Solanum lycopersicum: one gene and its partner. Each later gene encodes a partner of the first gene's protein in a complex. Links are inferred from orthologs where the notes say so. Each region holds a gene or a part of one and is shown in the gene's direction. Other genes may lie near its edges.

Region 1 (4,610 bases):
TGATTCCTTTCTGTCCATAGGCACCAAAAAATACATGCTGGAATCATTCTCCAGGTGTTCCTGATGGCCCCATCAACTATCAAATGGTCCCAACTCACAACAACTTCTCTGATAGTTTGAGGCATCACCCAGTTCAAACTGAATAGGGAAAGGAACACATGCCATATGCCTGCATCCACCGCACAACGCAAGAAAAGATGATTTACTGATTCTGCACTTTCCTGAATTTCTTTTCCAAATTTCTGATAAGGTTAATGAAAGAAATAAGCATGTATTTTTTGGGCTGTGGAGTATATTTGTGTTGACAGAAAATCCGAAAGATGCTTTCTGTCTATGTTGCTCAGACTCTCAGTGGGTGTGTATCGGATTTTCCAAAAGTATTGTATTTTTGAAGAATTTGACACGGGTGCGGCATCAAAAGTGAAGAGTCCGCGCAGCTTAGCTTTCTGTTAGTTGTTACTTACAAATACTTTTCGATGCAGTTCTACCTGTTATGCTGTCATCAAAGCTGCTGCCAGAGATGGAAGTCGAAGATAATGCCAAAAGGGAGCAATTATTACACAGCATGCAACACCTATCGGTAGCATCCCAAATTGAGAAGTTGAAGGTGGAAAGCTCTGCAGATGCTATTTCTTCTGTTTCTGTATCCTTGTGGCTTTCTAATATACCTATAACACACAGGTTAGAATTGATATGATTGGAGCAGCATGTGAAAGTGCTGAGAAAGTCATAGCTGATACGCGCAAAGCCTACTTTGGAACCAGACAGGGGCCAACACTGCTTCCAACTATTGACAAGGCACAAGCAGCAAAAATTCAGGAACAAGAAAATTTACTTCGCACTGCAGTAAATCATGGTGAAGGTGATAATATTTATGTTCTGAGTTTTTTCCCAGAAACATCTTTTCTCCTTCTCAGAGTTCGTTAAATGTTTTGCTTGCACAAGACATTGACGCTAAAGATACTTGGACCCCAATGGTCCCTATGTTGATGTTTAATCTAAACTAAAAGAAAGAGAGAAGGATTCTTGCAAACTATCAGATCCACTGAGTGCCTTGTTAATCAGAAAATTGCACATATTTCTGATGACGAAGAAGGTGCAATTGCAAGTCAGATGCTTCAATGTGCTTCTGCTATGCATCACAATATATATGTACAATAAACCTGACATGTGTCTAGTGTGTGTAGCATCCCTTTGGTGGTGTTTGGCGGTACACTCGTTTATGATTTGTTTTAACATGTATGCTCACAGATTTCATGAAAATGGTACTTATGCAGGATTACGTGTACCTGGAGACCAAAGGCATATTACTTCTGCACTTCCTGGTCATTTGGTAGATGTGCTTACAGTGTCTGATGGCCCCCAGTCTTTCGCTGATTCATCCGGTAGCCTATCATCTATTGTTGTCCTACTGTTTCCACTTTATTTCATGAACATCTGACTAGAGAAATTGATGCTGTGTTCAAGTAGGGACTTATCTGAAGAATACTCCTCCCTTTCCATCGAGCAATGTTAATAGTCAGGGAGCTTTGTTACAGGTCAGATTTCTTATAATTTGCCTTGTAAATATGCCTTTTGCTTAAGGGATGAAGATCAATTTGAAACATGATTTTACTTCCACCCTCCGGCGTCCTGTAATGTTGTTATTCAAAGGAGCTATGAACAAAGGGACAAGTGGTTATCTTGTTAATGAGTGAATATCAATTTGGAACACATGAATTTTACTTCCACCACCCATAATTTTGTTACTAAAGGAGTTATGAATAAGGAACAAGTAGTTATCACACAATTATGCTATTCTATCTTTATCATTTAAAAAATTATGCTATGGTTTCTTTCTGTTTCGAAAAAAGGAGCCTTAACAAAGATAAGCGGTATGCCGTGTTACCAGGGGGTCACAGGTTTAGCCATGTGTAGGTCTCTCGCAAAAATGCAAAGTAAGGTCTGCACCTTCTCTAGTCCCAGGTATAGAGGGAGCCTAGTGAATTGGGCTACCTTTTTGTCGTCTTCTGTATGGTTCTACTATCTCTTTTACTGTTCTCGGGGAGGGAATTGTCATGCCTTTTTATTCCCAGTTCACTCTAGGTTTACAGACCTCTTTTTAGGTTGGCCAACCTGATTATTTTCACATGTTCCATAGCACCAAATGGATACCAAAAAACTGCACATCTTAGAATGGGTTTAGATCAATTAGTTACTGAAGGAGTTTACTAGGTCCACTATAGTATTTAATAATCATATACATGTTCTATGTTACACACCAAATACACTACCCTGATTGTAATTAATATCAACTACTGCATGTTCTTTGTATACTTACATCCTTGGTTACACATCAACTTCTCGTGCAAGTTGTAACGCCTGTTTTTTTTTTTTCTGGGGGTGAAAGAGCTGTAGGAATTATTTCCCTCATTTATTTGAATTTATTGGAGGATGGGAGATCAAGTAGAGTTTGCTATTAAATACTTATGTAAGAGTTCGGAGAGGAAATGCAAATCTCCTTCTATTCATGGCGCTAATCAGTAATATGGAAACAATAAATGATTAATCTGCCAGAAGTATACTGATCATATCCTTTTTCCATTCTTTCTCCTTAACTAAACATTACATTAAATCAATGTTCCCCAAGTTATTTTAATATATTGAGTCCTTATTGTCTTTTAAGTTCGTCAGTTCTAATATGTATGTATTGCTCTTGGAGTAGGCTTCTGGAGCACTTCGGGCTGCAGTTTCTCCTTCTGGGCCCACTTCCTTTGATACTACAACAGCATCACCTCTGCAACATGTCAACTCACCTAGGTCTAGTGCTAACATGATGAATACACCATCTCCTCAGCAACAGACCCATCAGCAACAGCAGCAGCAACAGCAGCAGCAGCAGTTGCAGCAGCATCAGCTCCAACAGAGGCAGAAAATGCTGCAGTTACCTCAGCATCAGCAGCAAATTCTTGCCCAACAGCAACTTAGGCAAGCCTCAATGCCTGGACTGGGGCAGGTACAGTTTGTACAAAAATCTTGATTGGTTTAAGGTATCTTTTTGTGAATTTGCACGACGTATAGCGTGCTTAGTATGGGCTACCTTACCATTACCCTTTTACTCATAAAGAACAGGCATATATCTTCTTTTGTTTCCTCCAATTGTCAGCTATGAGAATTGAATCCCTAGCAGTTCCTTCACAGAAAAGCCACTTTTTTTGGCCTTTAATATCCAACTAGTTCCATTAGGGAATCCACTGAGTCCTTTATGACAACCCGTAAATAGATTTAGCGGTGAGAGGGCCTGATGAATCACCATCCAACTGCGAACGCCTCTCATCTCGCAAAATTTACAAAAGTTGAAGGCTAAAATTGTTTACCTCATTCAACTCTTGAGTCATTATGATTCATTTAAAAGGTCCAGAAAAGAGTTCTCTCAGGCCTCTGCCACATCCCATGTTGACTTTTAACAAATTGGGAGAAGTCCTCCTAGTTGTGTGGTATCCCGTATCCCCATCCTAGCTGCTCTTTGATAAGGACTGGTAACTTGTCATCCCCATTTCCTTTCCACGTGTACTCCTCTGAACCATGCTCCAGTGCAATCTTTATCAACCCTTGACCTCCAATTAGGGATGTTCATGGTTCGGTTTGGGTCAGTATTGGTTGAAACCAAAACCAAATACATATCAATCAGTTTGGTTGTTGTTATTTGGTTTGGTTCAGTTTTAATGATACCTAATGATATTTCTCTCTTCAATTTTTCCCCTTACAATTAAGAAGGATTTTCCCATCCTTTTTCATCTTTGTGATGTCTTCCATTCAAAATACTTTTGATCATTCATCTAAAGAGGATTCTGGGTTTCTTTTATCCGAAGCGAATGCTTAGCCTATTTTGTGTTCTTTTTACAGTCAAAGACTGACATAAAATAACAAAGAAAATAGATTCATAAATTGGATCCACTGTTTTGATATGCTTAATGGTAAATCCTAGTATGTGAGGACAGGCCACTAGTTTTACAGCCAAGCTCCTGATCAACCTACAGGATTCCCAACTTCTCCAATAGGTAGGAATTTTATCTCATTTCTTCATCTACCAAGGAGAATTAGGTCCATTTCACCAATTAAAAAAGAAAATTGGGACCATTTCCCCGTAAAATTGAAGAGCAAAAAGTGCACTGCTTGCACTGATCTCTTTAAACTTGTTATGGTTCATCTCTCCTTATTTAGCATTCAGACAATTCATGAGGAGGAAGAAGCTCAGATTAGTTAGTAACACATGCACACTGGCTGTTTGTATATACGACATGCGTAAATATCCAATTCAGATTCTTTTCAAAGGGCACTTTACTCCAGGATTGCACATATTTTCCAAAGAGTATGAACTTGTTAATCTTTTAAACAAAATGAGGACAATTATTGATTTTCTGCTACTTTTTTGGGTTTCATTTTTGGTTTTGGAAAAGCTTTGTAGATGACACAGAATCTTTACTTGACATAATTGATACTTTGTAAGATAAAAGAGTTGATTTTCTGAACTGTAAATGTGGCTGCAGCACAGCCTTTATGCTGATATGAATACAACATTACAGTTTTCTCAAAATTAATGAACATTGATTTTCAGCACTTTCAATATG
Region 2 (3,574 bases), on another chromosome or scaffold:
TTTAGTTTGCATCTATTTGCGATACATAGACTCTCTCTCATTCACTTTACGTCTTTTTCACTCGTCTTTTTTTCTATAAGTTTATATTTTAAAGTGTATATAGTAGTATATTACATGCATCTAGGTCTATATGACTTGACATCTAGTATGAAATTACTAATTAGAAGACGATGCGTAACTTTTCAAAATTATGAAAAAAAAACTACGTAGTAAATATGATAGGAATGTTTATGTAATCTGGTAATTTTTCTGCAACGTTAAACACAGATATTTGTGCACTTCTTTCCCCCATTGAATTTCGGGGAACTTATATACACGTACTATAATTAAAAAAATATTTACCATTTATAGCAATAATAAAAAAAAATTACTTAATCAGTTTTAATTTATTTATAATACAAGTTTTATACATATTATAAATAACAATTTAATATTACATATAATACAAATTTTAACGATGGATAATACGTTTTTCACACATTTTAATACATTTATAATAGAATGTGTCAAATTTAGTAAACAAACTTAATATATTTCAAAAAACAACTTATAATTCACGTACATTGCATACATAATTCACTTTTAATTCATATTGCAGATTTTACATAATATTGCTATAAATGACAATAAATAAAAAGTATCGCTAAAATCAGTAATTATTTATTAAAATGTATTAATTTATATAATTTTTCCTTGAATTTTGACCCAAGTAACTTGATTTTGGGCTTGATCCAGTAATACATAGCTCCTTACCCGGCCCAAAAAGTACACGCCACGCATAAAACGACGTCATTTTATGCTTAAATTAATTCTCCTTACAACTTCTCGCACCGCCGATCGCCACCACTACCGCCGCCGTCGATCTAGGGTTTTGACAAGCCGGTGACATTACCCGGTATGGAGGATAAAGGCACAATTACAAGCCCTAAAACCATACAAGAACTAGCAGTAGAAGGGCAAAAGCATTTAGAAGATACAATAGAAGCAGCACATCAAATTCTCTCCGCCATGAACGATGAACTCTGTAATCCATCACTTTGGTCCACTCTAAATACAGCTGCTGCTTCTTCTGCGGTGGCGGTGGCCGGTGGAGGAGTTGGTGCTAGTGGTGTTTTGAGTAATGGACAGCAGCACCATACAAACGGCGACATTTCGTCTGATACTTCTTCGTCTTCTTCTGCTTCAGCTCAGCATTTGGATATTGGTGGTGGTGCTCTTGATGAATCTCGTCTGCGTTATAAGTCCTCTATTGCTTCCTTGCGTTCTGTTCTTACTGCAATTTCTAATTCCCAAAAGGTAATTTTACGTATAAAAATGCAATTTTTTAAAACATTTTTGTAATTGTGTGATATCTGTAATTTAAGATAGTGATCTCAGGAAAAGTTAGTTTGATGTAATCATGAATCAACAATGGCTTGATCATAAACTAGTTCGGTTCAGCTATATGAATGAATCACTTCTAGTGAAGTCCATTAAACAGAAAATGTGTAAAAGACTGGGGCTTTGTTCAATGCCAAAGGTAGTTCAACGTGACCGCAAAGATTTGGATCCAACGTAGATAACCTCTAGTTTTAGAGGTTCCAAAGGTTAAAACTATTTGATACTGGAGTGAAGTGGTTCCATATGGATATGGAGGATTCGTATACTTCCACCACCAACCAGCTTGTGTTGAGCCATAGGTGGTGTTGGTGTTCTGTTAGATGGTAGTTTTGATTGGGAATGAAACTCAAATAGATATTCTAGAAATGTAGTTCCTTCGGAGTACTGTAGGAGAGAAAAACATTATCCAGTTTGAGCAGAAAAAAAAAGACATTATCTAGCGATAAAGGTAAATTCAGTGTGAAAAGTGTTTGGTGATTGATCTTAATCACAAAACAAGGGGTTAAACAGTTTTGGTGATTGATATGGGAAAGACATCATGTGGTTATATACTAGCACAATTTGCCCTTACCAATATGAGCAACATTTGCACATGGCAATTGTATATTTTGATGTTCTAGACATGGGGATAATATTTCTTCACTATGAATATAATATTCAGTCGTTTGATCATCCCTCGTCATCAGTTGATGAAGCTCAACTGTGCTGCTTACTCTTTTTCTGATTTGTCTTATATTCTTCTGGGTTTGTGGGTGGCTGTTGGGGGCTGGGGATGGGGGAAGATATTTAACTATGTTTTCGAGGTTGTTCTTGTTTCTGCTGTTTAAACGCACATGAGGTATAAGTGTTTATACCAAGATAAACTACTGCGTGTTATCCTTTTCAAGAAAGAATTAGCACTATAATCACATCTCAAGTCCTTGGTGTTGGTGTATGGATTGCCTTAACATTTGTGCATTGGAGAGAATCTGGTTAAGCAGTAAGAATTTTGTTTGTCAGTATGAACAAATAAATCACTGATGTTGAGTGCATTTTTGTTGCTCAACATATGTCCGACTACACATTAAATGAGTTCTTTTAGTAACTTCTTTCTTAAGAGTTGTGCAAGTATTTGCTCCGTTTTAACTGGAAGTTGTCAAACTCTCCTTTCTGTTGTCTCAATTCTCATGATTAACAAGTTATATTTTCTTGTACATTTTGGAAAGTTGTTAACTTATTGTATGATACTTCACACTCATTACTGGCTTTGTTAGCTAGGCAAAAGCATTGGAAGCTGCTTCTGCTAGTGGTTCACTATCTGCAGCAGATCAAGCGGAAATTGAGCAGCTGGAAGACCGGGCCTCTTCATTAAAGAAGGTATTGATAACATATCAAATTTTGACATATTAGAATTTCCTTGGATTTTTGTTGGTTTTTGGGATGCATGATGGGTGGGTTTGGTGAAGCAAATGTGTGTGCCAATATTTGAACCTTGACTGATGTCTTCCTTGATCCATTGAGTAATTTCTTATCCATTAAAACAATATTGAGGTATACTACATGTTACATTTTCATTCCGGACACATGACAAAATGTCTTACTGTACAAACTTTCTCAAGTCTCGATATTTGTCACAACCTCAAATCAGAACAATATGATTTTGTGATAACATATGAAAACTTGGTTTCAACATCCTCTGCTTGTTGTACATACTGTATTATTATTAATTTTATTCCTATTGCGTTAAAATTAGTCAAATCCTGTTTCATTTGCTTTATGTCTCCCCCTAGTGGCAATAAGAAGTCCTCAAGTGAAGGTAGAGTTTTATCGTACTTGAGTGCATGCCTAATAGTTTTCTATTATCTTACGGTAGTGAAAAATCAAGTTGCTATTGTGATCAAGATTTAAAGCATATTCTATTGTTCTTACAAATTGCAGGAGCTTGTAGACAAGAACAAGCATCTCAAACTTCTGATTGACCAGCTTCGAGATCTTCTTGCTGACCTATGTACATGGCAGAGTCCCTGTTCTACATGACTCTGCTGCTATAACTTCAACCATACAATTAAATCGGTGAGGTGTTAGAGATGTCAAAAGAGCAACGTATTCAATCTTAAGAAACTGTTTTATTTTTTTTTCACTTCTTTTGTACAGAAGTTACTGCTAGATTCAAAAAATTGGTCATCGCCGGACACCTGCTATATGCTGCTCGCGG

What was found. The genes of interacting proteins can lie anywhere in the genome.
Region 2: mediator of RNA polymerase II transcription subunit 8 (region 1) and mediator of RNA polymerase II transcription subunit 30 share a complex: the UniProt entries of both Arabidopsis thaliana proteins name them as parts of the mediator complex. The link is inferred for Solanum lycopersicum from reciprocal best matches to the Arabidopsis thaliana genes MED8 and AT5G63480.

Annotation. Positions count from the first base shown.
Region 1 is NC_090802.1:67,515,684-67,520,293, forward strand, and holds part of mediator of RNA polymerase II transcription subunit 8, read left to right. Parts: intron 1-482; coding exon 483-607; intron 608-681; coding exon 682-862; intron 863-1,277; coding exon 1,278-1,385; intron 1,386-1,467; coding exon 1,468-1,538; intron 1,539-2,704; coding exon 2,705-2,995; intron 2,996-4,610. UniProt on the Arabidopsis thaliana protein: Component of the Mediator complex, a coactivator involved in the regulated transcription of nearly all RNA polymerase II-dependent genes.
Region 2 is NC_090807.1:2,029,146-2,032,719, reverse strand, and holds the start of mediator of RNA polymerase II transcription subunit 30, read left to right. Parts: upstream 1-774; 5' UTR 775-897; coding exon 898-1,296; intron 1,297-2,637; coding exon 2,638-2,736; intron 2,737-3,297; coding exon 3,298-3,396; 3' UTR 3,397-3,432; intron 3,433-3,513; 3' UTR 3,514-3,574. UniProt on the Arabidopsis thaliana protein: Component of the Mediator complex, a coactivator involved in the regulated transcription of nearly all RNA polymerase II-dependent genes.